7 linked regions of the Mus musculus genome follow. The protein of the gene in region 1 binds, or shares a complex with, the protein of each later gene. Links are inferred from orthologs where the notes say so. Each region holds a gene or a part of one and is shown on either strand. Other genes may lie near its edges. The genes, in order: Gnas, Fzd6, Gpr174, Htr6, Gpr12, Htr1a and Gpr4.

Region 1 (2,193 bases):
ACCGTGTCTCCTTTTCTTTCAAGCTTCCTGGACAAGATTGATGTGATCAAGCAGGCCGACTACGTGCCAAGTGACCAGGTACGCGTGCGCCTCTGTCCTCAAGCCTGGGGTTCCACGTTGCTGGTTCTTCTCCGGGCAATTAGGGTGAGACCTACTGACCCCCCTCTTTGTTCTAGGACCTGCTTCGCTGCCGTGTCCTGACCTCTGGAATCTTTGAGACCAAGTTCCAGGTGGACAAAGTCAACTTCCAGTAAGTGAATCGTTGTCCCGCCCCAACTATCTGGCCTGGAGAGTGGTGGGCCCAGGGTAACCCAGTATTTTCCGGTTCCAGCATGTTCGATGTGGGCGGCCAGCGCGATGAGCGCCGCAAGTGGATCCAGTGCTTCAATGATGTGACTGCCATCATCTTCGTGGTGGCCAGCAGCAGCTACAACATGGTCATTCGGGAGGACAACCAGACTAACCGCCTGCAGGAGGCTCTGAACCTCTTCAAGAGCATCTGGAACAACAGGTGCGTGGGGTCTCCCTGACTTGGCTCAACCTGTAGGTCTGCAGCTTGCTCTGGCCCCAGCTCTCACCTGGCCCCTCTCTCCTCAGATGGCTGCGCACCATCTCTGTGATTCTCTTCCTCAACAAGCAAGACCTGCTTGCTGAGAAAGTCCTCGCTGGCAAATCGAAGATTGAGGACTACTTTCCAGAGTTCGCTCGCTACACCACTCCTGAGGATGGTACGGTCATGGCGCTGGTTTAGTCAGGTGGTTCTTGGGCACAAGGTGTGGCTGAGAGTCCCTAGCCCCTCCCACTATGGGGAAGCCAGGGACATTTATTTCCCTCATTTTCATAGGCAGAGATCAAGAGTTTGGGGGTGATGAGCTACAATGGTGTCAGACTAGGTCTTCTAAGCTAATTAGCATAATTAATAATTTTTTTTTTTGTAGCGACTCCCGAGCCGGGAGAGGACCCACGCGTGACCCGGGCCAAGTACTTCATTCGGGATGAGTTTCTGGTGAGTAGGACTTGTAGTCCCTTACTCCTCCTCACGAGTATTCTCCAGTCAGTGCTGGATTTGGAGACTGAGCGGTCCAGGCCTTCCATTGTATTGTACTATGAGTTGATGGCTGGTCCTCTGGTGGTGGGGTGAGGGGCTCCTGGAGAGGGTTGCTTGACCGAGCCCCTCTCTCTGCCTACAGAGAATCAGCACTGCTAGTGGAGATGGGCGCCACTACTGCTACCCTCACTTTACCTGCGCCGTGGACACTGAGAACATCCGCCGTGTCTTCAACGACTGCCGTGACATCATCCAGCGCATGCATCTCCGCCAATACGAGCTGCTCTAAGAAGGGAACACCCAAATTTAATTCAGCCTTAAGCACAATTAATTAAGAGTGAAACGTAATTGTACAAGCAGTTGGTCACCCACCATAGGGCATGATCAACACCGCAACCTTTCCTTTTTCCCCCAGTGATTCTGAAAAACCCCTCTTCCCTTCAGCTTGCTTAGATGTTCCAAATTTAGTAAGCTTAAGGCGGCCTACAGAAGAAAAAGAAAAAAAAGGCCACAAAAGTTCCCTCTCACTTTCAGTAAATAAAATAAAAGCAGCAACAGAAATAAAGAAATAAATGAAATTCAAAATGAAATAAATATTGTGTTGTGCAGCATTAAAAAATCAATAAAAATTAAAAATGAGCAAAATACGGTGTTGCTCTTTGATTTGCGGCAAGTGGGTCCCAGGGTCCATGGGTGGGATTGGTCTCGGCACCCACTGGGAGGTGGAGAACAGGTCCCAGGGCTAAAAGTGGGCTGAGGAGTTGGCACTATAGACTGGGGGAACCTAGTTTTTGGCGCATCAAAGCTTCCACCCATTATCCTGCCCCCAGGCAGTTGCTAGCTGCCCTTTGACCAATTACTTCCCCGAATGAGGCAAGCAGCCTACAGAGAAGGCTGGGGATGTGATGGGTGGGGGAGATGGGAGTTATTTGGGAAACATTTGAAAGCATTCCCACTCCAAGATGAATTAGTGAAAATTAATTAAGCACATTTAAGTTAAGAGTTTTGGGCATATGATTGGGCATGTGATGGGGCACATGTGGGGAGGCCTAACACATGATTGGGCATAAGATGGGGGCATACGCATGGGGGCCCAACATATGCTTGGGCATGAGAAGGGGGACACATGGGGGACCAACATATGA
Region 2 (4,259 bases), on another chromosome or scaffold:
TTCAACCAACAGCTCTCACTTTGTATTCCAGGCTGACATTCAGTTCGCTCTGAAACCTCGGTTGGTCTTGAATTTGAGATCCTTCTGTCTTGGCCTTTCAAGTACTGCAATTCCAGGCCTGTGCCACCACACTCAGCTGAGATATATTCCTTCTATATAGAAACTTAACATTTTTCTGAGAAATATTCTTCCCACGTAGAAGGTTAATTTTCTACATAGAAAACATCTTACATAGAAACCCATTTTTCAATACATAAACTGTCTGACTTTTAATAATATTAAGATTAAGACAATTAGTATTAACATTTCTTTAACATGGTCTCGTCCTTTACAGTTGTCCTAAGCTTTTTTTTGTTTAGTTTTGTTTTCAAGGCAGGGTTTCTCTGTGTAGCCTAGCTGTCTGGGAACTCAAAGGTCTGCCTGCTTCTGCCTCCTGAGTGCTGGGACTGAAGATGTGTGCAACCATGACCGGCTTGTCCTAAGTTTTTTGATAAAGCTGGGAAAGAGTTCTCCAAAATTCATCTCTAGTTGATGTTTCCAGATTTCAAATCTTGTCTGGTTATTCGGTGGTGTCCCAAGTACTGAAATGTGACATTTTTCAGCAGCACAGTGATTCAGCTAACAGCAGTCTCCATTTAAAAGTTATTTTACAGGCTGGGACTGTAGCTTAACATAGTAGGCATGCTAGTACCAGTATGCACAAGACCCTGGGTTCTATCCCCATTAGGAACAAGAAGAAGAAGAAAAGAGGAAGAAGAGGAGGAGGAGGAAAGAAGAAGAAAGAAGAAGAAGAAGAAGAAGAAGAAGAAGAAGAAGAAAAAGAAGAAGAAGAAGAAGAAAGAAAGAAAGAAAGAAAGAAGAGAAGACACTTTGTGTTTGCCAACAAGTTCCTTTGTACCTCATACCAGAGTCCTACATATCAGGCATTATTGAATGTAAAGGACTCAAAAATTAGTAACCATTCTTGTATTCATTTATCATGTCTACATAGAGAGGACTCTACACATCCCCACGCCCCTTTTTGGTAATTTATCTGAAGTGATGGTGGCAGAGCTGGTTCTCAAAACCACGTTGACTAAAGCAGTTAACTTTCTGTGGGGCTTTTGCAGCAGTAAAGCTGTAGAACCGGCCGAAGCTGGCACCTGCCGTTCAAGGTGGTGGCCAGACTCCCCGAGTTAATAGGCTTTTCAGCCAAGAACTCAGGAAGTTCCTCGCTAACTCTGATCTCAGCTACCACTCACTACAGAGCAGATCCCCGCGGCTAAGGCTCCTCGCTTCCAGAACGGAAAGTGTGCTCTGCAGGGCACTTCCCCAACGGCCTGGGTCTCACGCCTGGGTCCGCGGTGCGAGCGGAGGCGACAGCTCGGCGGCCCCCGCACCGCGGCCGGCTGGGCTGGGCGGGGCGCAGGGCCGGTCCCGCCGCCGCGAGCCCCAACCTGCCCGCCCGACCTGGCGGCGCAGTCTCGCGGGATCGCCCAGCTCTCGCTCCCCGTTGCGGCCCCGGAGGCGGTCGAGGCCCGGACGCTGCCCCCCACCGAAAGCTCGCCCCGGCTGTCTGGGGTGGCGGGGCCGCGCGACGCCGAGGGACAGCCACCTTCCTCTGCCGCCCGAGGTGAGGCGTCCCCGGCCCGACGGGGCGGGCGGGCAGCGGCCGGGATCGGAGCCGCAGGTGCGTCGCCTCGGAGTCCCACGCAACTCCTGGAAAGTGACTCTGGGTCCCCGCAGGCCGGGGACGGAGCTGCTCGGCTGCAGGCCGGGAACAGGTGCCCGACGCGGGACCCCGGGGGCTCAGGGGAGCCTCCCGCAGTCCCCATGAGCTGACCGTGGAAGGTTTGCGCTGGGTGGAATTCGGGGTACAGGGGGCACGGGGTGAGCGCGTTGAAGGGGAAAGTGCTGGAGGTGAAGAAGCGCAAAGGAGTCACCACCCAGGCCCACTCTTCCTAGGGGGACCTCGCTCAACCCCAGCAGACTGATTTTCGCCTTTGCGAAAACAGGAAAGGCACATCCGCAGAAGTCTGCGATTGTAGAGAGAGCTAAAGTTGAAGAACTCTGTCTGGGTCACTTGTCCTCATTTTCCCCATATAGTGAGATGGCCAAGGGGCCCCTAGACCCCCTTTCTTCTAACCACCATCACCCCTTTCCTCGCTCCAACTTGCTTATGCCGTGCCTCCTCTTACCCGGTGTTTTAGACAGTATAACCCTTCATCAGCAGTTCCCTAGAATTGAGGCTTCCTTAGCAAAGTGATACATCCGCGCCCGGGCAGGTGGATATGTCTCTTGCTAGGATGGAATTTTCCACATTTTTTTCTTTCTTTGTAGCATTAGTTACCTAGCATGACATTTGACTTGGATTTGACTTTGTGACGAATGTTACTGATAACACACTTTGGGTTTGTTTTTACAGCAGTTGCCCCAGAATTCATTTTCAGGAAACAGCTTCTATCAAAATGGTACAAAGAATGCAATGAGGAATTTGTACATTTTATCTCTGATTTGAGAATCTTTTTGATGCGGAAAGGAGCATAAGAATAATCCAAGCCATGTGGTAAAATCGGAGTCTGGCAAGATGGAAAGGTCCCCGTTTCTGTTGGCGTGCATTCTTCTGCCCCTCGTAAGAGGACACAGCCTTTTCACCTGTGAGCCAATCACCGTTCCCAGATGTATGAAAATGACTTACAACATGACGTTCTTCCCTAACCTGATGGGTCATTATGACCAGGGGATCGCTGCTGTGGAAATGGGGGTGAGTGGATTTTCATGCCTATATTGAAAATTAGTTTATACGTAGTATTTTTCTCTTAACTATTACTTTTTAATCTTTAAACATAGTTTTTTTCCCAATCATATTTTTTAAAGTAGTTTTGAACATTAAGTTCCCCTCCTCCCGCTGTCATATTTTGTCTACAGTTGGACGGTTAGTTAATTTGCTTATAAAAAGGTTGCATTCATAATGAAGGGTGCTTACAGATAATAAAAATATTTTGCTTTTTTGAATTTGTGTCATTGCTTCTCCAAGACTGTGATTTCTGAATTTTTAAATTTTTAATATTTATTTGTTTGTTTGATTTTTCAAGATAAGGGTTCTTCTCTGTGTAGTCCTGGCTGTCCTGGAACTCACTCTCTAGACCAGGCTGGCCTCAAAACTCAGAGATCCACCGGCCTCTGCTGGGATGTGTGCGCTACCACGCTCGGCCCCAAATTCTGAATTTTTTTAATGGTTGACTGAACATATAATCTATATTGCTTGAGCTAAAATGAAACTTAAATGTTTTTTAAAAGTACTTGTCAAATTCATTTGACTTAGTTTTCCCAAAGCTAATAAATTATTGGAATGTTTTGGCGCTAAAGAGAATGTTTTACTAAAAGGTGACTTTCAGGCATAGCATGTAAGTGTTTTCTTTATATAAGATACTTGCTAAAAGAAAGTCCACTTGTAGGGCGAAGGGCAGTGTGACACTAACAATCGCCTCAGGCGCCTCAGTTACCTGACTCTGGTTTAGAGATATGAAAATGTCCCAGGAGGTGTGGGAAGAAAGAGCTGCCTGTAGAGACAGGAACCTGCCACACAGATCTGCTGGGTTGATAAGTTTCATGAAGAAAAAAAAGACAAGGGTATAGGTTTTGTAATCTTTCCCTAAAAAAGCTGAAGCCAGTAAAGGTTTTTTCCTCAGGTTGTCTCTGAGAGACGAAACTCCTAGAAATATAATCTAGAGAGGGGTTTTAAACTTAACTGTATTTGATCTTGCAGCTTTGAAGGTCTTCCTTTGTCTGCTGGAATAGTTAGTTGTCTGACTACCTCTTTGTAGACAGACTCCTGTCTGGGTTGGGTGGTTTTTAAATACTAAGATATAATTTTAAAAGATGTACAAGTTATAGTGTTTTAATCTTTGAGTAGTTTTTCCCAACTAGTGCAAAACCCCCCTCTTTTTTACCAGATGGGTGGGGCACTGAGGACTGAGCACTGAGCCTCTCAAATACTGCAAGGTCTCGCCCACTCAGCTACATCCTCAGCCCTGCAAGGCGTTCTGTTGAACACTCTACAAAGAATACAGGGAGACTTCCATTGATAAATCAGACCCATAAGTGTATAGTGGATATCATCACGCAATAATTACATTGTTCAGTCTGGCCGCCTCTGATGATAATGTTTTTTAATACATGCTTTAGTAAGGGTTCAGAAAGCATTTTATTTTAATCTGGTTTCCTCTCTTTATAGTAGCTACATACATTTTAGGTTTGAATGCTGACAGTGACCTTAG
Region 3 (3,500 bases), on another chromosome or scaffold:
GGGAGGGGCTGAGATTCTTCTGAATTTCTAACAGGCTCCCTTCTTGTTGGCTTAGACATTTTTTGTAACAAAGTGCTGGATTATTTTTCAAGTTCCTTCTCATTTTACTTTTCTGCACTTTCTAGAACATTGGTTTTCAACCCTCCTAACGCTGTGACACTTTTATAGTTCCTCATGCTGTGGTGAGCCCCCAGCCACAAATGTTTTTTGGTGCTACTTCATAACTGTAATTTTACTAATGTTATGGATCATAATATAAATATCTGCATTATCTTGTGGTCTCAGACAAACCCTGTGAAAGGGTCATTTGATCTCCAAAGAGGATGTAACCTGTGGGTTGAGAACTGCTGTTATAGAACCTGTAGCATATTAATCCCCACTCAAATCAAAATTCTATTAATACTAATATATTTTTATACATGTGCTTTATTTTTTATTTTTCCTATATACAATGGATTTTGATCATACACACATACACAACTCCATTCCACCTTATCCAGGCTTCCCGATATGGCTCCCTCACAAATTTGTCATCTTCTGTTTTGTTTTGCGTTTTTAAATAATATACTGAGTCCATTGCAATCTGCTTACACTGGAGGGTGGGAAACCTACCAGGAGCCATACCAACAAAGAAAATTATTTTCTCTCCCCCTAGCAGTTATCAACTGCCAGTAATTCCACATCTAGGGACAAGGCCTTGTTCATACTGGAATTTTGATAGGATTAATCTTGAGCATGTGAACCTAGCTTCATATAAATTCATGACTGCAAAAAGAATCTTAATTCACATATAGGATAGCCTCCAGATGGGTTATTGGTTAGGGAATCTCCAGAGAAACACCCCCTCAAAGAAAAATACAAGTCAGGCTACTGCTATTGTTTGTGGTTGCCCACTGTAATTAGATGGTCATATCCTAGTATTGCTGAAGATACCACATATTTTGGTTGTAATACATATAAGAATTAATTTTAAACTGACTTGGAAACTTCTTCCTGGCTAGCCAGTTTTTATTGTGAGGGTGATACTATTAGGCCTCTGGAAGAAAAAGACATTAATAGTCTTCTCCATGTTGTAATACTAACCTGGGGATAGAGTAGGGAAGACATGCACTACGGTGCAATAGTGGCACAAAGATTGGGGAGATAAACAACTACATTCTGATTGGGTTTAAGGTCTGTTCCATAGAAGGAAATTTGTGAGTGACACTGTAAACCTTACCAAAAGCTTATGGCTAGAAAGGCCATCTGCCCTAGAGGAGAATCTACTGTGTTGTTTTGCTAAAACATGATCATATTAAAATGCTTTCTAAATATTTGTTTGTACCCACAGCTCTGTGATGTTCTCAACCTTGGTTAGAAAAGCCTCTTTTTGCAGTGGGAAGCAATTAATGCAGAGACTCCTAACTGACCAAAATGCTAAGACTAAGTGACTATGACTTCTTAGCCCTAAGCAAAATTAGATATCACCCAAAAAAAAGTGAGGCTCAGGAAATATTAAGGATAAGAAGAGTAAAGAATTTAAGACCTAGATGATGGGGAGGAATTTTGTGAAGTGTTGTTTTCTGGATATGATGTGACCATTAAACACTAGTTTTTCTTATTTAAAAACGCTAGGTGTAACAAGTTTATTTTCTTTTACTTGCAGGTTTGCCTTTTATTCTCTCTCTCTTCTTTAATGCAGATCTGAAAAAGTCTTGGGAAAAAAAAGAACCATCAAAATAAGTCATCTTCAAACAGTGGCTGAGCCAGCCTGCACTGAAGCAAACCTTTCTTCTCTGTGTGCCAGATGTCTCTCCCCAAAAGAACATGAAACGTCCTTCCAAACACCTGTAAAGTGATAACCATCATATGGGAATTTGAGAAGTTGATGTATGACATAGTTATGAATCAAATGAGAAATATCCTCTTTCCATGATGTCCTGGCCTGGAAGACCTTACCACAAAATAAACAAGAGAAGAACATTTTAACAACTTTTCATGTGTGCTTGCACAATGGATTTCTGTGGTTATGTATACAAAGCTGAGGCATAAATACAGCCAGGTTTTTTTAGACTTCCCAAATCATGTGTAGAGGCTAACAATTGTGGCAAAAGTTTGTTTTATACTCTGTCTCTCTGAGCCACTGACTTGTGGACAGTACAGAAGTTACTTGTGGATTTAAATTTGAATGACCAGTAGGCAAAGAAAATTTCTCTTGGAAATAATCATGACTGATAATTTTACATGTAACAAGACAGATGGAGACAATACAGATTTCCGGTACTTCATTTATGCAGTGACATACACTGTTATTCTTGTGCCAGGTCTTATAGGGAACATATTAGCCTTATGGGTATTTTACGGCTATATGAAAGAAACCAAAAGGGCTGTGGTATTTATGATAAACCTAGCCATTGCTGACTTATTACAGATTCTCTCTCTGCCACTGAGGATCTTTTACTACTTGAACCATGACTGGCCATTTGGTCCTGGTCTCTGCATGTTTTGTTTCTACCTGAAATATGTAAACATGTATGCCAGCATCTACTTCTTGGTCTGCATCAGTGTGCGAAGATTTTGGTTTCTCATGTACCCCTTTCGTTTCAATGACTGCAAACAGAAATATGACTTGTATATCAGCATTATTGGCTGGCTGATCATCTGCCTTGCCTGCCTGCTCTTTCCTCTCCTCAGAACCAATGATGATACTCCAGGTAACAGAACCAAATGCTTTGTGGATCTTCCTATCAGGAATGTTAATCTGGCCCAATCTGTTGCCATGATAACTATCGGAGAGGTGGTTGGGTTTGTTACTCCTCTTATGATTGTTTTATACTGTACCTGGAAGACAGCTTTGTCATTACAAAATAAATATCCCATTTCTCAACATCTTGGAGAGAAAAAGAAAGCCCTGAAGATGATTCTGACCTGTGCAGGGGTGTTTCTAGTTTGCTTTGTACCTTATCACTTCAGCTTTCCTTTAGATTTCCTGGTTAAGTCCAATGAAATTAAGAGTTGCTTTGCCAGAAGAGTGATTCTAATATTTCATTCTGTGGCCCTGTGTCTGGCAAGCCTGAACTCCTGTCTTGACCCAGTTATATATTATTTTACCACTAATGAGTTCAGAAGACGCCTTTCAAGACAAGATTTGCCTGATAACATCCAACTCCATACAAAATCATACAAAATTGCAAGTAACCATGCCACTTCTACCGTGGCAGCTGAACTATGTTAAATAAAACCCAGAACTGAACATGGCCTGGAATGCAAATACCAGAACACATTTGCAGTACCTCATCAAGACAGTATTCACAGGAAGTATTCATAACCTTTCAGTGTGGTCTATATTACTTACATGGGGAATGCACATATTTATGACAATACCTGTTTAGAATATTGCATTTCAATATCATTGCTGGTGACATGTCCATGCGGTAATGTTGGACCAACTCTTTAAGACGTAAATGGTGAAATTTTGATAATACTGCGCACATATTCTCTCAGCTAGAGTCATCAGCTTT
Region 4 (3,183 bases), on another chromosome or scaffold:
TGGTATTCTAGGACTTGGTCTTAGTGCCTCAGCTGGGGACCAGTCAAGGATCAGGGCTCAGTTAATTGCTGGTATGCTAGGACTCAGTCTAGTGTTAGGGTTGAGGTTCAGTCTGTGACTAAGATCAGCCAACTTATATGGCTTTCCTTTCCACAGGTGCCCAGGACACCACGCCCAGGGATGGAGTCTGCTGACAGTAGGCGTCTGACCACCAAGCATAGCAGGAAGGCCTTGAAGGCCAGCCTGACCCTCGGCATCCTGCTGAGCATGTTCTTTGTCACCTGGCTGCCCTTCTTTGTGGCCAGCATAGCTCAGGTAAAAAAAAAAAAAAAAAAAAAGACAGTGAAGATGGAATTAGTCTAGGCCTGGCCAGAGAGAGAGATGCCATGCTTCACTGGGCAAAGGTGGGAGGGAGGAGGATGGCTCATCTGTGCTAGTTGTGTCTGTGTGTCTGTCCTGTCCCTGCTGGGTGGGGTAGCCTGAGTCCCTGCCTGGGACAAAGTGTGACAAGTCTTCTCTCCACAGGCCGTATGTGACTGCATCTCTCCAGGTCTCTTCGATGTCCTCACATGGCTGGGATACTGTAATAGCACCATGAACCCTATCATCTATCCCCTCTTCATGCGGGACTTCAAGAGGGCCCTGGGCAGGTTCGTGCCGTGTGTCCACTGTCCCCCGGAGCACCGGGCCAGCCCCGCCTCCCCCTCCATGTGGACCTCTCACAGTGGTGCCAGGCCAGGCCTCAGCCTGCAGCAGGTGCTGCCCCTGCCTCTGCCACCCAACTCAGATTCAGACTCAGCTTCAGGGGGCACCTCGGGCCTGCAGCTCACAGCCCAGCTTTTGCTGCCTGGAGAGGCGACCCGGGACCCCCCGCCACCCACCAGGGCCCCTACTGTGGTCAACTTCTTCGTCACAGACTCTGTGGAGCCTGAGATACGGCAGCATCCACTTGGTTCCCCCATGAACTGACCAGGTCAAGAGCTGGCCAGCGGAGGCCACATTCCCAGAGGCCTCAGCCCATTCTCCCTAAGAGTGGGAGGTGGTAGGTCTCCCGAGAGCATGCCGAGTGTCCTGAGGGATCCTCGGCTAGCCCCCATCTTCTACTTGAAGGCTCCTTGACATGAGAGATAATCTGAAACATCGTAGGGTATTCCAGTACAATGTTGCTTGTGGTTTGTGTAGTGTGGCTGGCGGGGGGTGGGGGGCAGTGTCTCGGAGCTGTGCCATTTGGTTCAGTTCAGCAGGAAAGCAATCAGTCCTCAGCCCTTTTTGTTAAGTGGGAAGAACGTATTCCTCTAGACACCCCAGTTCCTGACTGGCCCAATCCTGTTATCCAAAGTGCCATCTCTGGGTTGTTGGGGTTCCTGTAGGCTCTGGGGAGCTTATTCAAAGTGCCCACCCCTCTGGAGATGGGCTCAATCGACATTGTATGTTCATGAGCTTTGCCAAGTCTGCCTTTGCTGAACTTTCAGACCTGCCAGCCCCTAGGAGGGGGGTGGCAACTTTAAGAAGTAGCTTAGGCTGGAGGCTGGGCAGCCAGAAATATGACCTTTTCCTCAGCTGTATGCTGCATTTCTTGGGCTTGGCACAGGTCTCAAGGTAGAGTAGGAGTGATACCACCTGTAAGACAATGTGGATGGTATGCCCAGAACCTGTGAGGGGCCAGTGGGTGGTAAATCCTATTGCTTTAACTCTTGGTTAGCCGGATTCTGGCTCTGGTAGAAGGGTAGCAAGTGTCCCTCCCTCCTTCTTCCAGCCTTCCCTCCCTCTCTCCCTCCCTCCCTCCCTCCCTCTCTTCCTTTTGTTTTGATTTGTTCTAGGCTCTCAAGTAACTCATGTTTCCCTATGTGGCCAAGGATGACCCTGAACTTGTAATCCTCTTGCCTCTACCTCCCAAGTGCTGGGGTCACAGGGATACACCACACACCAGATTATATGGTGCTGGGGGTGAAACTCAGGGCTTCATGCATTCTGGGAAAGCACTCTACCAGTGGAGCTGTGTCCCTAGGGCCTCCTGTTTTCTGTTAGGTCAGCCTCACATATACTAGGCAAGCGCTCTCCACGGGGCCACATCTCAGCCCCATTGTCTATTCCAGCCCAGATTGGGCTCCCAGCCTCCTTGCTTTGCTGGGTGGAGACTGTACCACTCAGGGACTCTTTCTAGTCCCATCCTGTTCTTCTGCCTCTAGAGGCCCAGGGGATGGTGACAGATCCTGTACAACCTTAAGTGTGGGTTTCCTCTACCCCAGCTTCCCCAGCTGATGGAGGCAGAGCAGCCCCTCATCCTGCCTGTCCCCTTTGGTTCTTCCTAGGGTCACTGAAAGAAAGAACAGCTGCTTGGGTAGGCAGCATACAGCTGAAGAGGGATGTGTGCCCCTGGCTTGGGGGTGAAGCCACAGACAGGCAGGTGGGCTCTGGTTTGGCACGGGGCTTGCATTTGTGGGTAAGGGCAGGGGACTCCCTTACTCCATGCTGCTCCACACTGAATTCCCCTTCAGCAGCTGCAGGTCTTTCTTTGAGCCTGTGTTCCAGCGACCCGGGCTCCCGGACTCTCTCCCTATGGCCAGGAGCTCTCCTTGGTGCTGACCGTGCTCAACTGGGCCCTGGCAGCAAGGCTCTGGTGCTTCCGGCTTTCTCTGCCACTGGGCCTGCCTGAGGGACTCAATAAACACAAGCTGAAGGACGTGGATGTGTGGTGGACTATCTCCTACTGAAGCCCCAGGTGCTTGGAAAACAGTTGTGTAAAGGTCTCTCCACCACAAGTGTCCTGGGCTCTGATCTGATTTTGTGCCTAGCATGTTCTGTGACACTCTCCCTAGCTCCCACAATGAATCGCTGTCACTTTTCTATGGGGACACAGTAGTTTGTAGTAAAGGTAGCATGAATGGCATATATGTTTGTAAAGTGGATAAGTGACACAGAATGGAGGGGCACTGAGTTTCTGAATACTGTGGCACCCACAGCCTTCCATGGGACTTATTTCTCCACATGCACAATGGGGACAGGCCACTTCTGTCCCTGCCACCGAGGGGAGGTGGGAGGAACAGAAAAGATGCAGACACAAGGCCTTAGAGCTCAGGTGAGAGGTCCCGAGACTAGACTTGATAGCAATTCCATCTCTGATCATCTGCGTAGCCTTCAGTGGGTTTCCTAATTACACAGAGGCCCAGTTTCCCCAGCATA
Region 5 (4,234 bases), on another chromosome or scaffold:
AATATTGCAATTAGTGATCTGACTACCACAGGTAACCATGCATACCAAACTGTAACACAGAGAAACTGCAAAGTGATTCTTAAGAGCAGTCACTACTGCTGAAAGGAAAGAAAGGAGTTCGCGCCTCTGTTACTGGTCACTTATTACTGAATTCCTAGAAATAAACACAAGCCCTTCCAAATGTAATTATATAAACTATTTTGGTTATATGGCAAAGCTCCTATCCTGTTAGATACATACAGAATGGAAGATCTACCTTGATTAAAAAAAAAAAAGTATTTCCTTCAGAAAAAGTATTTCCTTCTCCAGTTTCCTTTAAAACTTTGATTTATTTTCAAGCCTAGGTTAAAAAATCCCGAGACTTTTGTATAATTTCATGGCCACATGAGGTCCCATTACACCCTCCAAACAAACAAACAAGCAAACAAACAAACAAATCCTAACTCCCAAACCAAACAACAGAATGCTGAGCCGAGAAGTCGAGTTTTGTTTTGTTTTTTTTTTAAAAAACACTGGTAAGATGATTTCCACTGTCAATACGTGTCTAAAAGATGTCATTGCTTCTGCTTGTGAGATCCAGTGCAAAGAATTTAAGGAAGGAAATCACTGGCCGCCCTGGGAGGTGGGAGCGCTTGGTAGAGGCAGCGTCCTATGAGGAGAAGGCTGCTACACATCGCTGGGAGACCGAGCTCTCTGAGACAGCGAGGAAGGGATGCACCCACAGCAAATGAGGCAGAGGGCTTTCTGGATCTCTTGGTTTCTGAAAGCGTAAATGACAGGGTTGATGATGGAATTGTAGGTGGCGGGCAGGAGGGTGGCATAGGTATAGATCGAAGGGTAGGTGTAATCGGCGATCAAGGAATAGAGGGTGAAAGGCATCCAGCAGGCAGCAAAGGTCCCTAGGATGAGAGCCAGGGTCGAGACCCCTTTCCGGGTAGTCACATAGTGCGATGTAGCCAGGAAGTGGTGCTGCAGGGCTATCTGATGGGCGTGCCTCATCACAATCTTACAAATCTGGATGTAGAGCTGAAGCATCAGAGCAAACATGAAGAGGAAGGAGATGGAGAGGATGGCAGCGTTGTTCTTAGTGAGAGGTCTGACCACGCTGCAGGTGGACTCGTCCCTCAAGCAGTTCCAGCCCATGACGGGCAGCAGCCCCAGGCAGATGGAGGTTCCCCAGAGCATCACTAGCATGACATAGGTAAAGGTGACGGTCCTCTCGGAGTGGTACGTCAGGGCGTAATATAGCGAGAGGTAGCGGTCCACAGTAATAGCCAGCAAACTGCAGACAGAGGCAGAGAAAGAGGCGACAATGAGTCCGATGGTGACCAGCTTGGTGGCTTCTGACTGAAGCAGGTACGCAAAAACAAAATTGATGATGAGTCCCAGGCCAGCCAGCAGGTCTGCAAGAGCCAGGCTGCCTATCAGTAGGAACATGGGGGCTCGCAGGCTGGGGCTGTGGAAGATGATAAGGACCACAACGGCATTTTCACAGCAGATGAGGGTTCCTGAGCTGCACAAGACAATGTCCCAGGGGTTGACAACGAGCTCGGGTTCTGACTCCGCAACAGAGCCCTGGGAGGGGACAGCGGCTGAGATGTTCTCTGGAGCACCGGCATCTATACAGTCCCGAGGCAGCCCGCTTAAATTGACCTTCGGGTCTTCGTTCATTTTAACCCCTGTCCTCTTCAACGGAAAGACAGGCTTTTTAATGTTTGGGTACAGTAGGGTGCCAATCCAAGATCATGCAAAACACACAGAGAAAGACAGACAACCCTGGGCTCAGCTATCAGTGTCAAAATGCCACGAGCTTCAGGAATTAAAAACAAAAGCTAAAGTCTGCAACCGAAATGCTGTTTGTCTCTGAGGGAAACACGGATCAGGACTCCCGAGGCGGCACATGCACACTCGCACACTTGCCAAAACGCTGAAAACCGACATTGGCTAATTGCATCTCCCATGCCGAAAACCAACAACTGTTTGACATCTGGGCTGCTGAGAGAGCACCGCCCAGCAGCCACAAGTCTGCAGGAGGGTGGAATATTTTAAGGGCCCCAAACTCCCACCCTTCCCAAACATACCTCACGCGCGAGCACACCCCCAAACACACCTCCAGACTCAAACAAAGGGGTGGGGTCCCAGTCTCTCCCATGTGCACCGCTCAGAGTGCAAGGGCTACAAAAAAGGTAGGTGTGTACCACAGAGGTGCCCAGACAGACAGAGAGAAAGATATGCATGCATTTGGCACCGCTCCCCTAGCAGCGGGGACGCGCAGCCTGCGGGGCAGGGGGTTACCGGGGGTCACCTTGGCACGCCCTGGCCGAGGGGTGGCTCCTTCAGTGCTGCCGAATAGCTCGGGCCACCCGCGTGGCACGTCCGTGGTGGCGCCCGCGGCAGGTGAGCTGCGGTGCTCGCGCCCGGCTCTCCGCCCTCCGCGCTCCCCGCCGGGCGCGCATCCGCGGGAACCCCACGAGGCTGCGCGCGCCCCCGCAGGTCGCAGCTGCGTGAGGGGCGGGAGCCCGCCACCGTGGACGCCCGCCTGCAACAGTCATGCGAAGACCCACTCGAACGGCCGGAGAGTCTGGCGACCTACTTTGATCCTGTGGCTTCCCCGAGGCGCCCTTGACCCTGGGGCTCGGCTTCTTATGCTTTCCCCTAAAGAATTGTAAACGGCCGGGTTTTCGGGATGAACAGGAGGAATGCGGGGTAAGCAGGTTAGGGCTGGCGGAGGAGACTTACAACAGCAAGCGACTCCCTCTCTTAGATTGCAGTTGGCCGGTCTGCAAATTATTGTTCCCTTGGGGACGTTCGCTTAACTGGATAGGAGCTGCTGCTACTTAGATCGCCCAGCTGCACTTATTAGGCACTCTCGGAGCCGTTCGCGAGTGGAAATCATTTAGGGCATTCTTGCAAAAGCTTCCTTCAGGCACTGGCCCAAACCCAATTCATTTAAGTACCCAAGTGACACTTATTAATTTATTGTTTCCTGTACCTCATCCGCGGAGTCTAGGGTTAAGATCCTGAAGGTTGCCTGCCGGAAAAGGACTAGCCTGTGTCTCTCATCCTGGAACCGGATCAGATCTTAAATTTAATCACGCTCTCCAGCCTAAAGGTGGGAGGAGAAAAGTCCTATTTCCGTGTGACCTCAATGTTGTGCAAGGCAAAGGATCCTGAGGACCCTTCATATGGGGTTATCATCAGATGCATCTGCCTCCCCTGTGTCTCACTGAAATTCCTACTCCAGCCTACCAGGCTCCAAGTCTTAGATCTCTTTTTACCCCATGTTCCCCCACCCCAGCCCCAGCCCCGCGCGCATCCATCAGCAGCTGTCTCTACCGTGTCATGCTCCTGGTACCAAAACCCTCCCTTCACCTCCCTGGTTACAACCTTCCTCTAGCCGCCCCTTCCCCCTTTCTCACTAAGGCAACACACTAAACCCGGTGTGACCTTGCCATAATGCAGCAGATCCGTTCCGCCCAACCTGAGCTCTCACACTGCTTCTGAACTCTCTCCCTGGACATTCTGCTTTGGGACACGTGGAGCTGTTGAGTTTTCTGCTGAGTCTTCTCATGTCCCCCAAAAGGCTCCAGGACTCTTTCTGAGTCCTGTATTCCCTGCGGCAACACTTCTGAAACTTGACTTAGAAACCAGCAGTTCTGGGGTTGGGGTCCCGGCGTCAGTCCCAAGATGCTGGTGATGCCGACCTGCGGGTCACACTTTAAGAAACGAGGTTCTATGGAGTTTAATAGTCGTGTGTATGGAAAGGAGACATCACTTGCGTCAAGGACCGTTTGAAAGCCTGCGTGAACAAATTCACGAAGACATTATCTTAGCACTCACAGACACACCCTGGACCAGTGGTAAGACAAAAATCAACATTATCCCAGGTAGCAGGTACTGCTGTGAAGGGATGCTCCTGTCTCTTTTCATTTCTTTGTAATAAGCGGAAGCATTTTTAGAACAGAGCAATGGGAAATGAGCAATGTGGGGCTGGAGAGGTGGCTCAGTGGTTACATGCTCTGACTGCTCTTGCAGTGGACCTGGGTTCAGTTCCAGGCGCGTATAAGGTGACTCACAACCATCTGCAACTCCAGTTCCAGGGAATACGACGCCCTCTTCTGGCCTCCTGGAGCATTACATGCACAAGGTACACACAATACAAGCAAACACTTAATATACATAAAATAAACAGGTTGTTTAAAAAAAAAGCGGTCAATGGTTTCATATACACAAA
Region 6 (4,277 bases), on another chromosome or scaffold:
ATCAAATTATTTCTTTATGCAAAAGGTAATACTGTCACCATCCCATAATAAAACACTTGAGTTCTAATAACACAAGCTGCTGCACCACAACATAAGTAGCTGAAAGTGTTTTCTGCCACTGTTCCTATAGATTTTTGTGAATGATAGATGTCATAAGCTTTCAAAGGGAGCTAGAAAATATACTTGGCTTGGTATAAAAACCCAAGGGAAAGAAAGAGAAAAGAAATGGTTGAAGAAAAAATTTAAAGTGACATTTAAGGATTTTATTTATTTTATAATATTCTAGCCTTCCTAATGCTGTGATCCTTTAGCACAGTTCCTCATGTTGTGCAGTGCTCCCCAACCATGATATTATTTTCGTTGCTACTTCATAAGTAGTAATTTGCTACTACAAATATTTTTGGAAGTATAGGTTCACAGATTGGGTTTTGATACATTGGTTGTAAATAGATATCGTAGAGTCTTTGGGTTTCCTTAATACTTACTTAATTTTTTAATGACAAATATTTCTAAATGGCGCTCTGAAGCACTTGCCGGAAGGTGGCGGCATAAGCAAGCTCTTACTACACAGAGCTGTCCCGGGTGCTGAACCCAATTTCAGAGAGACTCGCAGTTGCTGGAGACAGGGATGCCACTAAGTTCCCTGGAGGGCTGCAGACTCCAGTGAGAGAGACATAAGTCCAAAGACCAGTAGAAAAAGAAAGCCATTGTTAACAATATACAGGCAAACAATTTCTTTCCATGAATTTATTTGCTTCAAATCTATGGGAAATGTTAATATCATTGATATGAAGAGAGTGACTGAAGAGTGTGTGTTTGGAATACACACTTAAGTGAATTTTTAATGTTTTCTTTGAGATTAGACTGTTTTCAGATCCTGTCCTCCAACCTGTCCTTTCTAATTTCCCTCCAATACACAAGGATAATATGAAAAGGTCACAGGCACCAGTGATAGGTTAATATGGTAAATGAACCTGTTTCTTAAGAAGCTGAGACCCACATTCTCTACCTGATAATGTAGAGGGTAGAGTTTAGAAGGTGGTCGACTCAGCTTCCCATCCTTCAGAGTCTCTGAGGGTTTTCCTCGTGCCTGATAGCCACACTGTGAACCTGGCTCTATTTAAGAAGCTGACAGAAATAAAGGGGATCTGCGGTGGGGAAATATATCTTTCTATCTCTTTCTTTTATTTTATTTTTTCCTTTTGTCTTTTTTCCCCCTCTAGTTTAATAGGTAAGAGGCGGGGTTTAGTATGTTAAAACATTGATCTGACTAGCAGATCAGAGTAGATATATGAAGTGAATTCTGAGTGTGGTGTGGACTGGAATGTAAAGACTCCTGGCTACAGGGAGAGGAGGGCGGGGACCCAGAAGAAGGAGGCACTCGGGACTAGGGAAGTGTTGGATGGCGGTGGGGGTTAACGTGGGAGGAAGGGAGACTAGCTGTCTGAGCGACACACAGGACTAAAGAAAGAGAGGTGAGAAGGAAAGGGGAACTGGAAGGGAAGGCCAGTGGGAGGAAGCCGGGAGAAGGAAGCTGGGAAAAGAGAAGCAGACTGGAGAAGGCAGGAGAGATGGAGAGACAGAGAGAAGGAACTAGGAGATGAGGGTCATCGAGTGACCCGGGAGGATGGGGTTTCTGGAATCCAGAGACTTCTGAGACTATTAGTTACTCGGGAGAGTCCGGCCCCCACGCAGCCAGTTGGACAGCGACAAAGTGAAATGGACAGCGCGAGACAGATATTACAGCCATCTCTCCAGCACCCAGAGATTTGGAAGATGCTTTCAGCCCAACTACAGTTTCCTAGCTGGAGCCTCTGAGCGCTCAGGACCCGCGGGAGCCAAGCAAGAGAGCGCCGGTGAGTGCTCCTCTCAGATGCCTTCGCCAGAGCAAGTAAGAACTTCCCGCTCCAGTCTCTAGATCCCCTCCCTTCGAAACTCCCCAGAAAGGAAGGAAGACCCTAGGGGGAGGGGCGAGGGAGATCCCCTTGCATTTCTTTTTCCCTCCCTTCCCCCCACCCCAGCGGGAGTGCAGGCAGGCATGGATATGTTCAGTCTTGGCCAGGGCAACAACACCACAACGTCCCTGGAGCCCTTCGGGACAGGCGGCAACGATACTGGCCTCTCCAACGTGACCTTCAGCTACCAAGTGATCACCTCTCTTTTGCTGGGGACGCTCATTTTCTGCGCGGTGCTCGGCAATGCCTGCGTGGTTGCTGCCATCGCCCTGGAGCGCTCCCTTCAGAATGTTGCCAACTATCTCATCGGCTCCTTGGCGGTCACCGATCTCATGGTGTCAGTGCTGGTGCTGCCCATGGCTGCTCTGTACCAGGTGCTCAACAAGTGGACTCTGGGTCAGGTCACCTGTGACCTGTTTATCGCCCTGGATGTGCTGTGCTGCACTTCGTCCATCCTGCACCTGTGCGCCATCGCGCTAGACAGGTACTGGGCAATCACCGACCCTATAGACTACGTGAACAAGAGGACGCCCCGGCGCGCCGCTGCGCTGATCTCGCTCACTTGGCTCATTGGCTTTCTCATCTCCATCCCGCCTATGCTGGGCTGGCGCACCCCGGAAGACCGCTCGAACCCCAACGAGTGCACCATCAGCAAGGACCACGGGTACACCATCTACTCCACTTTCGGCGCTTTCTATATTCCGCTGCTGCTCATGCTGGTCCTCTATGGGCGCATCTTCAGAGCCGCGCGCTTCCGAATCCGCAAGACGGTCAAGAAGGTGGAAAAGAAGGGAGCGGGCACCAGCTTCGGAACATCGTCGGCCCCGCCCCCCAAGAAGAGCCTGAATGGTCAGCCAGGTAGTGGGGACTGCAGGCGCAGTGCTGAGAACAGGGCGGTGGGGACTCCGTGCGCTAATGGGGCGGTGAGACAGGGTGAGGACGACGCCACCCTGGAGGTGATCGAGGTGCATCGAGTGGGCAACTCCAAAGGGCACCTTCCTCTGCCCAGCGAATCAGGAGCTACCTCCTATGTCCCCGCCTGCTTGGAGAGAAAAAATGAGCGCACTGCTGAGGCAAAGCGCAAGATGGCCTTGGCCCGTGAGAGGAAGACAGTGAAGACACTGGGCATCATCATGGGCACCTTCATCCTCTGCTGGCTGCCCTTTTTCATTGTGGCCCTGGTCCTACCTTTCTGTGAGAGCAGTTGCCACATGCCTGAGTTGTTGGGTGCCATAATTAACTGGCTAGGCTACTCCAACTCCCTGCTCAACCCAGTTATTTATGCTTATTTCAACAAAGACTTTCAAAACGCTTTTAAGAAGATCATCAAGTGCAAGTTCTGCCGCTGATGATGATGATGGTGGTGGTAGTGGTGGTAATAGTGGTGGTGATGGAGAAGGAAGAAGTGGAGGAAGAGTGTAGGGCTTACAGGACCCTTCCTGTTCACTCAATATCCCCGCCCTGGAAGCAACACCTAAGAAAACTTGCTTTTCCTAGAACACGCAGCTTCTTAGCCCATGGCTTTCAGATCTTCTCTCTCTATCTCATTTTAAGGGGACAGTGCTTTTTGCAGAAATCTTAGAGAACCCCTAGCATCTGTTTGTAAAATTATTGGCTCGGTCTTTGGCCCTAGGATCAGTTTTGATAGTTGCAATAACCTCCTCTCTATTCGAAATCCCAATTCTTCACGATGGAAGTTTAAACCTCGGCGATTCAAGGAAGAAAACCCAAACAGAAAATATAAACTGTATGGACATCTACCATGCCCACTAGGACTGCCACCCTCTGCCCTATATCTGGAACTTTGAGGTTCAAGACTGCTCTGTCTCTCCCTCCCTCTTGCTCTAGAAACATCTGTTCCCTTTGGGTGTCAATGTACACTGCTGATTCTGGTCTCCATGCACTCACGGCTGGTCTGGGAAAGTTGGAACTACTTTGGGTTATGGTGCCCTGGAATTGTTTGCCTTGCTGAATAGCAAAAGATCCCTTTCCCCAATGCACAGCACCCACTTTCTGTATTTTGTTTGTTTGTTTGTTTTAACTCAAAATCAAGTGACAAAGATGTCTGCTGGAGTGGACTTATAAGCAAGAAGCCAGGCCCAAAAGGAAGAGCCAAGAAGGCCTGCGGATGTTTTCCTGTCCTGGTGTCAGCACTCACCAAAGAAATTGACAATCAGACTATTTGGAAGGAAGAGTTTTATTCCTGTAGTTTGTTGGCTTTTCTGTAAGTTCTGGAAAGGCCTTGTGGACTGCAGAAGGCGCCCACTGCTGGCCAGGGAGGGCTCATTGAGGGTGCTGAGATGCCCGGGATGGCTCACCTCA
Region 7 (4,273 bases), on another chromosome or scaffold:
GACCTCTCTGAATCTCTAATCAGCCAGGGTTACATAATAAAATCTTGTCTGAAACAACCAACACAATACTGAGTGGTATACTCAATAACAGAGCCCTTCCTAGAATCCCCCAGTGAGGGCTGGGGTGTGGCTCAGTGGTAGAGTCCCTGCCTAGAATCCCCCAGTGAGGCACTGGGGTGTGGCTCAGTGAGAGAGCCCCTGCCTAGAATTCCCCAGTGAGGGCTGGGGTGTGGCTCTTGCCTAGTGTGTGTAAGGCCATAGGTTCTATCTTCTCAGCCAAGATAAAATAACTATGTAAACTAGAATTGTAAACACCATCACTGCTGTTGTTTTTGGAGGGCTGTATTCCTGTTGGATCAGAAGTCCCTGAGTCTATAAATGACCTCTCAGGACTAATTTGTGCAGGAAGTGACCGACCGAGATAAAAAGAGGGCAATGCGGCTCTTTGGAACCTTTGCACACTTCCTGAAAACAATGGGAATTTCACTTCCAGGCAACAGACACACAAGAGTAATCAACCTGAACTCAAGAATGGCCCTCCCGCCAGCAGGGAGGCTGATGATCAGGAAAGGATAGAAACGTACAGTCCTGGCAAAGTGAGGTGTTGAAGTGATCTATGGGTACATCAGACTTTTAGAGGGCAGACTAGGGTGTCCTGGACAGCCAAGTCGAAACGTTTTAAAGATAGAACTTCATTAGCCCACTTTGCCCTCAAAACTCTCAGCTATCCTCCTGTCCCAGCCTCTCAAGTGCTGAGAGAGTGCAGGCATGCACAGGTACCCCAGAACGAGACTTTTTTAAAATAGATTTTACATTATGCTCTCTGTGAAGTGACAAGAGACAGGTTGAGAAAAGGACTGTGTCTGACTACTTTGACTGTGGAAGAAACAGAGGCAAGGCCTAAACTCTGACCCCCAAGGCTCCTTCGACTTGAGGTGGATACTTAAGAGGCCACCATGTAACATGTTTTCCTTTACATTTATCTATCTGAGGTGTATGGCACCGGACAATGCAGAGGTCAGAGGACAACTTGCACAATCCCATTCTCTCCTTCCATCGTGTGGGTCCTGGGGATTGAGTTCAGCATCAGTAGCAATCGCCTGTCTGCTGAGACAAACCCCTTTGTTCTGGGTCCCTTAGAGGGATAGAGGGATATGGAGAAGGTTATTAACAGAGGCCTGCAGGGAGGGGGCTCTTCAAAGAAGGAAGCAACAGGAAGGAAGGTCCCAAGCTAAGCTACCTTTCCCAGAAGAAGGCTTAAATTCGAAGTGTGGAATTGGAGAGAGGGTAAGGAAGGAGTTAATGGATTGTACCCCTGAAGCAGCAGGTGAGATTTCCAGGCTTGAGTTCCTGAGGTGGGGGGGGAGGACGCGGTGGGGTGCAGGGGAGCGGCAGAGGAGGGGTTAATGGGGGCGGGCCTGGCTGGGGCGGGGCCTGGGTTCCGACTCCAGCCCCGGGCCAGGGGTTGTCGCTGCTGTCCTGCCCCGCGGGGGCGCCCGCCGGGTCCCTGTGCTGTGCAGAGTCGGGACCAAGTCAGAGACGCCGGTCGCCCAGCCCAGCCGCGGAGCAGGTGGGTGCTATCCCTCCGTTCCCATTCTACCCCTTCTCAGGTCCAAGACTCTGGGTGGCCGCTCCGCTGCCTCAGTCTCCCCGCAGCGACCCCTCTCCGCCACTCGGCTCTGGAGAACTCATCTTTTCTGCTTCTCCCTCCTGAGCCTGGGGTCCCTAAGATCCCCTGCCTCCGGGTCTCTCTCATTTCTCTCTCTCTCTCTCTCTCTCTCTCTCTCTCTCTCTCTCTCTCTCTGTCTGTCTCGCGGGCGCGCGCGCACACACACACACACACACACACACACACACACACTCGATCTCACTGCATACCATAAACTATCTTTGAACTCACTCTCATGCCCACATTGACCTAACATTCACGGCAATCCTCCTGCCTCAGTTTCCTAGAGTATACCGGGATTACATGTATATGTCACCACACCCGACTCTCCACCCTCTGGCGTTTTATAGACAGATTCTGTCTGTACAGTTCAGGTTTACCTTAAACTGGCTGGCCATCCTCCTGCCTCAGCCCCTTAAATGTTGTAGGTGTTCTTCAGCAACAAACCCAATGGACTCTATTTCTTTATCTTTTGGGGTCCCCTACCTGCTCTTCCCATCTGCCTCTGGATCCCTTCTACCTCATCCTTGGCCTCCATTCCCTTGTTTATGTGAGACCCCCTCCTTTTTTTCTTTGTATGTCCCCAACTCAAACAAACCCCAACTTTGTATATCCATCTCAGTGTGTCTCTTCCCACCCTCTCTTTTCTGGTTCTCTGGCTCTTAGTGCCTCTGCCCCCATCACTCTCCCTACGTCCTGAGACATCCTGGAACCTTTTCCTCAAGGTTGTGGGGCTGCTTAGGATTGGGGTAGGGGACAGTGGGATTGCAATCCAGAGCAAATGGACTCTGAGTGACACCATGACTCTAGTACCTACTTTGTAGTCACCCATGGCTTCTGAGGTCACACCTACCCCACCCTCCTGTCTCAGGAATTCCTGGCTGGGGGTGGGGGTGGGGGGGAATGGACTTCCTTCCTCCCTTCCAGAATTTTGGCTGGGTCTCTGTTAACTCCTTCCTGCTTTGTCTTACTCCCCTTCCCTGGAACTGAACTCCTGGGCAGCATTTCTCAACCGGGCTAAGACAAAGCTCCAGAATTCCCAAAGCTTTGGTGGTGGTGGTGGTGGTGGTGGTGGTGGTGGTGGTGGTGGTGGTGTGTGTCTCAAGCTGGATTCGTACTGGGGACACTAGTGTAAATGATGGGGAACACCTTGGCGCTCCTTCTAGACCCTCCGACTAGCTACACCCCCTGAAATCTACCAAAAGGGCTTCCCAGCATGTCTCTAAGGTTGAACTTGATCAACTTGGGGTTTGGGGTTCTCCTAGGAATGGCTACTGAGTCAGATGGGCAAGGGTTCCCAACGCAGACCACCTGGGAGCCCTGGAGGCTGGCATGCCGGTACCTGACTGTTATCCCAGCACTAGGAAGGTGAGAGGCAGGAGGGTTAGGAGTTGCAGGCCAGCCTGGGCTACATGACACGCTGTCTCAAAAGACTCTTGTAGTGGCACAGGCCTGTAGCTCAGGCTGAGGCAGGAGAATCTTAGTCTAAGGCCAGCCTGGGCCAATTTCTGTCTTTGAATGATAGATAGGACCTGGAATGCTGAAACCCTGACAAGCACAGAGAACCAAGGCCCTTTTGATGTTCTGGCCCTTTAATCTGTGCATATGCGTGCTGATATCTTGAAAGTTTATGCTACCCACAGCTGTGTGCTACAAAACACCTGTGGGAACCACACAGGCCACGCCCCTTCCATTTTACACACAGGGAAACTGAGGACTTAGAGCAGAAGTAAGTTACCGCCAGCCTCAGGGCTTAGGACTCTTGCCTAACCGCAGCCCATATCCGGAGACCTAGGTTCCCTTGACCATATCTGGAGACCTGAATTCTTGCACTACCACTAAGTCGGATTAATTTGGGCAATGAGGTCCGCTAAGTGAGTAGGGAGCTGTGCCAGACTTGGGTATGAATGGCTGGAGACCAGAAGGGAGGGTTTGCAGAGCGAAGCAGAAAAGATATTTCTGAGGGCTTGCTGGTGGAGAGAGAAAGGGACCAGAGGTGGCCTGGCCTGAGGGGTTGAGGGGGAGGAGTTTCAGACAGACAGACAGACAGACAGAAGCCAAGTGAATTAACTCCACCCCTGTCTCCTGACCCTCCCCTCAAAGCCCACTGCTCCCCCGGGACAGGGCCTATAATTTGGTTTGTGTCTAGACAAATAATAACTCAGCTGGTGTGAACAGGGAGGGACGAGGCCAGACCGCTGAGCAAGGGGTCAGAAGCAGCCTGGGTTTCTAGGTTCGTCCCTTCTGAGGTGGGGAGAATATAATTTGGGGGGGCAAGCGATCAGCTATCCTGATCCCCCAACTCTGTGAACCTTCAGCACCTCAGAATATTTTAAGTCAGAGCAGGAATGTGGGGGGAAAGAGGAAGTAGGGTTCACCTATTTACAAAGCGTTCTCATTTCGGCAAAGAGCGAAAAGGGAAACGTGTATTCATTTGCTGGGAAAAGATAAAAATCACCCAGGGTTTAATAATAGATTATGAAAGTCATAGCGTGTGTTTTATTTTATTTTATTTTTTTCTTTTTTTTTCTGAAATCATAGAGGGTTCTAACAATAGAACTTCAGAATCTTGGGGCCGGGAGACGCCTGGAATATTGGAAACTG

The links.
Region 2: the proteins of Gnas (region 1) and Fzd6 are in contact, whole or in part, in a cryo-EM structure (PDB 8JHB), measured with the Homo sapiens proteins. The link is inferred for Mus musculus from reciprocal best matches to the Homo sapiens genes GNAS and FZD6. Residues at the interface, in NP_000507.1 of Homo sapiens: Gln384, Leu388, Gln390, Tyr391, Glu392, Leu393, Leu394; in NP_001158087.1 of Homo sapiens: Arg226, Ala310, Lys314, Ser316, Cys317, Val396, Gln407, Lys409, Leu410, Phe413.
Region 3: the proteins of Gnas (region 1) and Gpr174 are in contact, whole or in part, in a cryo-EM structure (PDB 8IZB), measured with the Homo sapiens proteins. The link is inferred for Mus musculus from reciprocal best matches to the Homo sapiens genes GNAS and GPR174. Residues at the interface, in NP_000507.1 of Homo sapiens: Lys34, Gln35, Arg38, Ala39, His41, Val217, Phe219, Thr350, Asp354, Gly355, Tyr358, Cys359, Tyr360, Phe376, Cys379, Arg380, Asp381, Ile383, Gln384, Arg385, His387, Leu388, Arg389, Gln390, Tyr391, Glu392, Leu393, Leu394; in NP_115942.1 of Homo sapiens: Phe44, Tyr47, Arg53, Ala54, Val55, Ile56, Phe57, Met58, Ile112, Arg115, Arg116, Phe119, Leu120, Met121, Pro123, Phe124, Phe126, His127, Asp128, Cys129, Gln131, Ser211, Leu212, Asp214, Met218, Gln220, Asp221, Leu222, Glu224, Lys225.
Region 4: the proteins of Gnas (region 1) and Htr6 are in contact, whole or in part, in a cryo-EM structure (PDB 7YS6), measured with the Homo sapiens proteins. The link is inferred for Mus musculus from reciprocal best matches to the Homo sapiens genes GNAS and HTR6. Residues at the interface, in NP_000507.1 of Homo sapiens: Arg38, Ala39, His41, Asp215, Lys216, Val217, Phe219, Leu346, Thr350, Tyr358, Cys359, Phe376, Arg380, Asp381, Ile383, Gln384, Arg385, His387, Leu388, Arg389, Gln390, Tyr391, Glu392, Leu393, Leu394; in NP_000862.1 of Homo sapiens: Arg124, Leu127, Ile128, Pro131, Leu132, Arg133, Lys135, Leu136, Ile211, Gln218, Gln221, Val222, Leu225, Thr226, Lys265, Ala266, Thr269, Leu270, Phe323, Met324, Arg325, Asp326, Lys328.
Region 5: the proteins of Gnas (region 1) and Gpr12 are in contact, whole or in part, in a cryo-EM structure (PDB 7Y3G), measured with the Homo sapiens proteins. The link is inferred for Mus musculus from reciprocal best matches to the Homo sapiens genes GNAS and GPR12. Residues at the interface, in NP_000507.1 of Homo sapiens: Gln35, Arg38, Ala39, His41, Val217, Asp323, Asp343, Leu346, Arg347, Thr350, Tyr358, Cys359, Pro361, Phe376, Cys379, Arg380, Asp381, Ile383, Gln384, Arg385, His387, Leu388, Gln390, Tyr391, Glu392, Leu393, Leu394; in NP_005279.1 of Homo sapiens: Met79, Arg138, Ser141, Leu142, Tyr143, Ala145, Leu146, Tyr148, His149, Ser150, Glu151, Ile220, Ile223, Val224, Arg226, His227, Ala228, Gln230, Ile231, Gln234, His235, Phe237, Lys248, Gly249, Thr252, Leu253, Ile300, Arg304.
Region 6: the proteins of Gnas (region 1) and Htr1a are in contact, whole or in part, in a cryo-EM structure (PDB 9GL2), measured with the Homo sapiens proteins. The link is inferred for Mus musculus from reciprocal best matches to the Homo sapiens genes GNAS and HTR1A. Residues at the interface, in NP_000507.1 of Homo sapiens: Ala39, Asp215, Lys216, Val217, Arg342, Arg347, Thr350, Ala351, Gly355, Tyr358, Phe376, Arg380, Asp381, Ile383, Gln384, Arg385, His387, Leu388, Arg389, Gln390, Tyr391, Glu392, Leu393, Leu394; in NP_000515.2 of Homo sapiens: Asn69, Ala71, Asp133, Arg134, Ala137, Ile138, Pro141, Ile142, Tyr144, Val145, Asn146, Arg148, Ile218, Ala222, Arg225, Ile226, Lys228, Thr229, Lys232, Val233, Asn325, Arg327, Asn328, Lys332, Arg339, Lys342, Thr343, Thr346, Leu347, Asn404.
Region 7: the proteins of Gnas (region 1) and Gpr4 are in contact, whole or in part, in a cryo-EM structure (PDB 8Z9O), measured with the Homo sapiens proteins. The link is inferred for Mus musculus from reciprocal best matches to the Homo sapiens genes GNAS and GPR4. Residues at the interface, in NP_000507.1 of Homo sapiens: Gln31, Lys34, Gln35, Arg38, His41, Asp215, Lys216, Val217, Tyr358, Tyr360, Phe376, Arg380, Asp381, Ile383, Gln384, Arg385, His387, Leu388, Gln390, Tyr391, Glu392, Leu393, Leu394; in NP_005273.1 of Homo sapiens: Gln45, Arg49, Asn50, Leu52, Asp114, Arg115, Ala118, Val119, Ala120, His121, Pro122, Leu123, Arg124, Arg129, Arg130, Lys132, Tyr201, Ile204, Ala207, Val208, Gly210, Ser211, Val212, Ser213, Thr214, Glu218, Lys221, Ile222, Leu225, Asn290.

What each region holds. Positions count from the first base shown.
Region 1 is NC_000068.7:174,345,052-174,347,244, forward strand, and holds the end of Gnas (protein GNAS), read left to right. Parts: intron 1-23; coding exon 24-78; intron 79-176; coding exon 177-250; intron 251-331; coding exon 332-511; intron 512-597; coding exon 598-728; intron 729-938; coding exon 939-1,006; intron 1,007-1,190; coding exon 1,191-1,337; 3' UTR 1,338-1,693; downstream 1,694-2,193. UniProt on the Homo sapiens protein: Guanine nucleotide-binding proteins (G proteins) function as transducers in numerous signaling pathways controlled by G protein-coupled receptors (GPCRs).
Region 2 is NC_000081.6:39,004,821-39,009,079, forward strand, and holds the start of Fzd6 (frizzled-6 precursor), read left to right. Parts: upstream 1-1,459; 5' UTR 1,460-1,612; exon of another isoform or gene 1,613-2,249; intron 2,250-2,404; 5' UTR 2,405-2,566; coding exon 2,567-2,743; intron 2,744-4,259. UniProt on the Homo sapiens protein: Receptor for Wnt proteins.
Region 3 is NC_000086.7:107,290,378-107,293,877, forward strand, and holds part of Gpr174 (probable G-protein coupled receptor 174), read left to right. Parts: intron 1-1,645; exon of another isoform or gene 1,646-1,681; 5' UTR 1,682-2,167; coding exon of another isoform or gene 2,168-2,206; coding exon 2,207-3,214; 3' UTR 3,215-3,500. UniProt on the Homo sapiens protein: G-protein-coupled receptor of lysophosphatidylserine (LysoPS) that plays different roles in immune response. Plays a negative role in regulatory T-cell accumulation and homeostasis.
Region 4 is NC_000070.6:139,059,206-139,062,388, reverse strand, and holds the end of Htr6 (5-hydroxytryptamine receptor 6), read left to right. Parts: intron 1-156; coding exon 157-315; intron 316-525; coding exon 526-969; 3' UTR 970-2,683; downstream 2,684-3,183. UniProt on the Homo sapiens protein: G-protein coupled receptor for 5-hydroxytryptamine (serotonin), a biogenic hormone that functions as a neurotransmitter, a hormone and a mitogen. Also has a high affinity for tricyclic psychotropic drugs.
Region 5 is NC_000071.6:146,582,440-146,586,673, forward strand, and holds the start of Gpr12 (G-protein coupled receptor 12), read right to left. Parts: upstream 2,801-4,234; 5' UTR 2,306-2,800; exon of another isoform or gene 2,296-2,305; intron 1,966-2,295; exon of another isoform or gene 1,687-1,965; 5' UTR 1,672-1,686; coding exon 667-1,671; 3' UTR 1-666. UniProt on the Homo sapiens protein: Promotes neurite outgrowth and blocks myelin inhibition in neurons. Receptor with constitutive G(s) signaling activity that stimulates cyclic AMP production.
Region 6 is NC_000079.6:105,442,216-105,446,492, forward strand, and holds the start of Htr1a (5-hydroxytryptamine receptor 1A), read left to right. Parts: upstream 1-1,477; 5' UTR 1,478-2,038; coding exon 2,039-3,304; 3' UTR 3,305-4,277. UniProt on the Homo sapiens protein: G-protein coupled receptor for 5-hydroxytryptamine (serotonin). Also functions as a receptor for various drugs and psychoactive substances.
Region 7 is NC_000073.6:19,211,065-19,215,337, forward strand, and holds the start of Gpr4 (G-protein coupled receptor 4), read left to right. Parts: upstream 1-1,473; 5' UTR 1,474-1,570; intron 1,571-4,273. UniProt on the Homo sapiens protein: Proton-sensing G-protein coupled receptor activated by extracellular pH, which is required to monitor pH changes and generate adaptive reactions. Activated by an optimal pH of 6.8-7.2.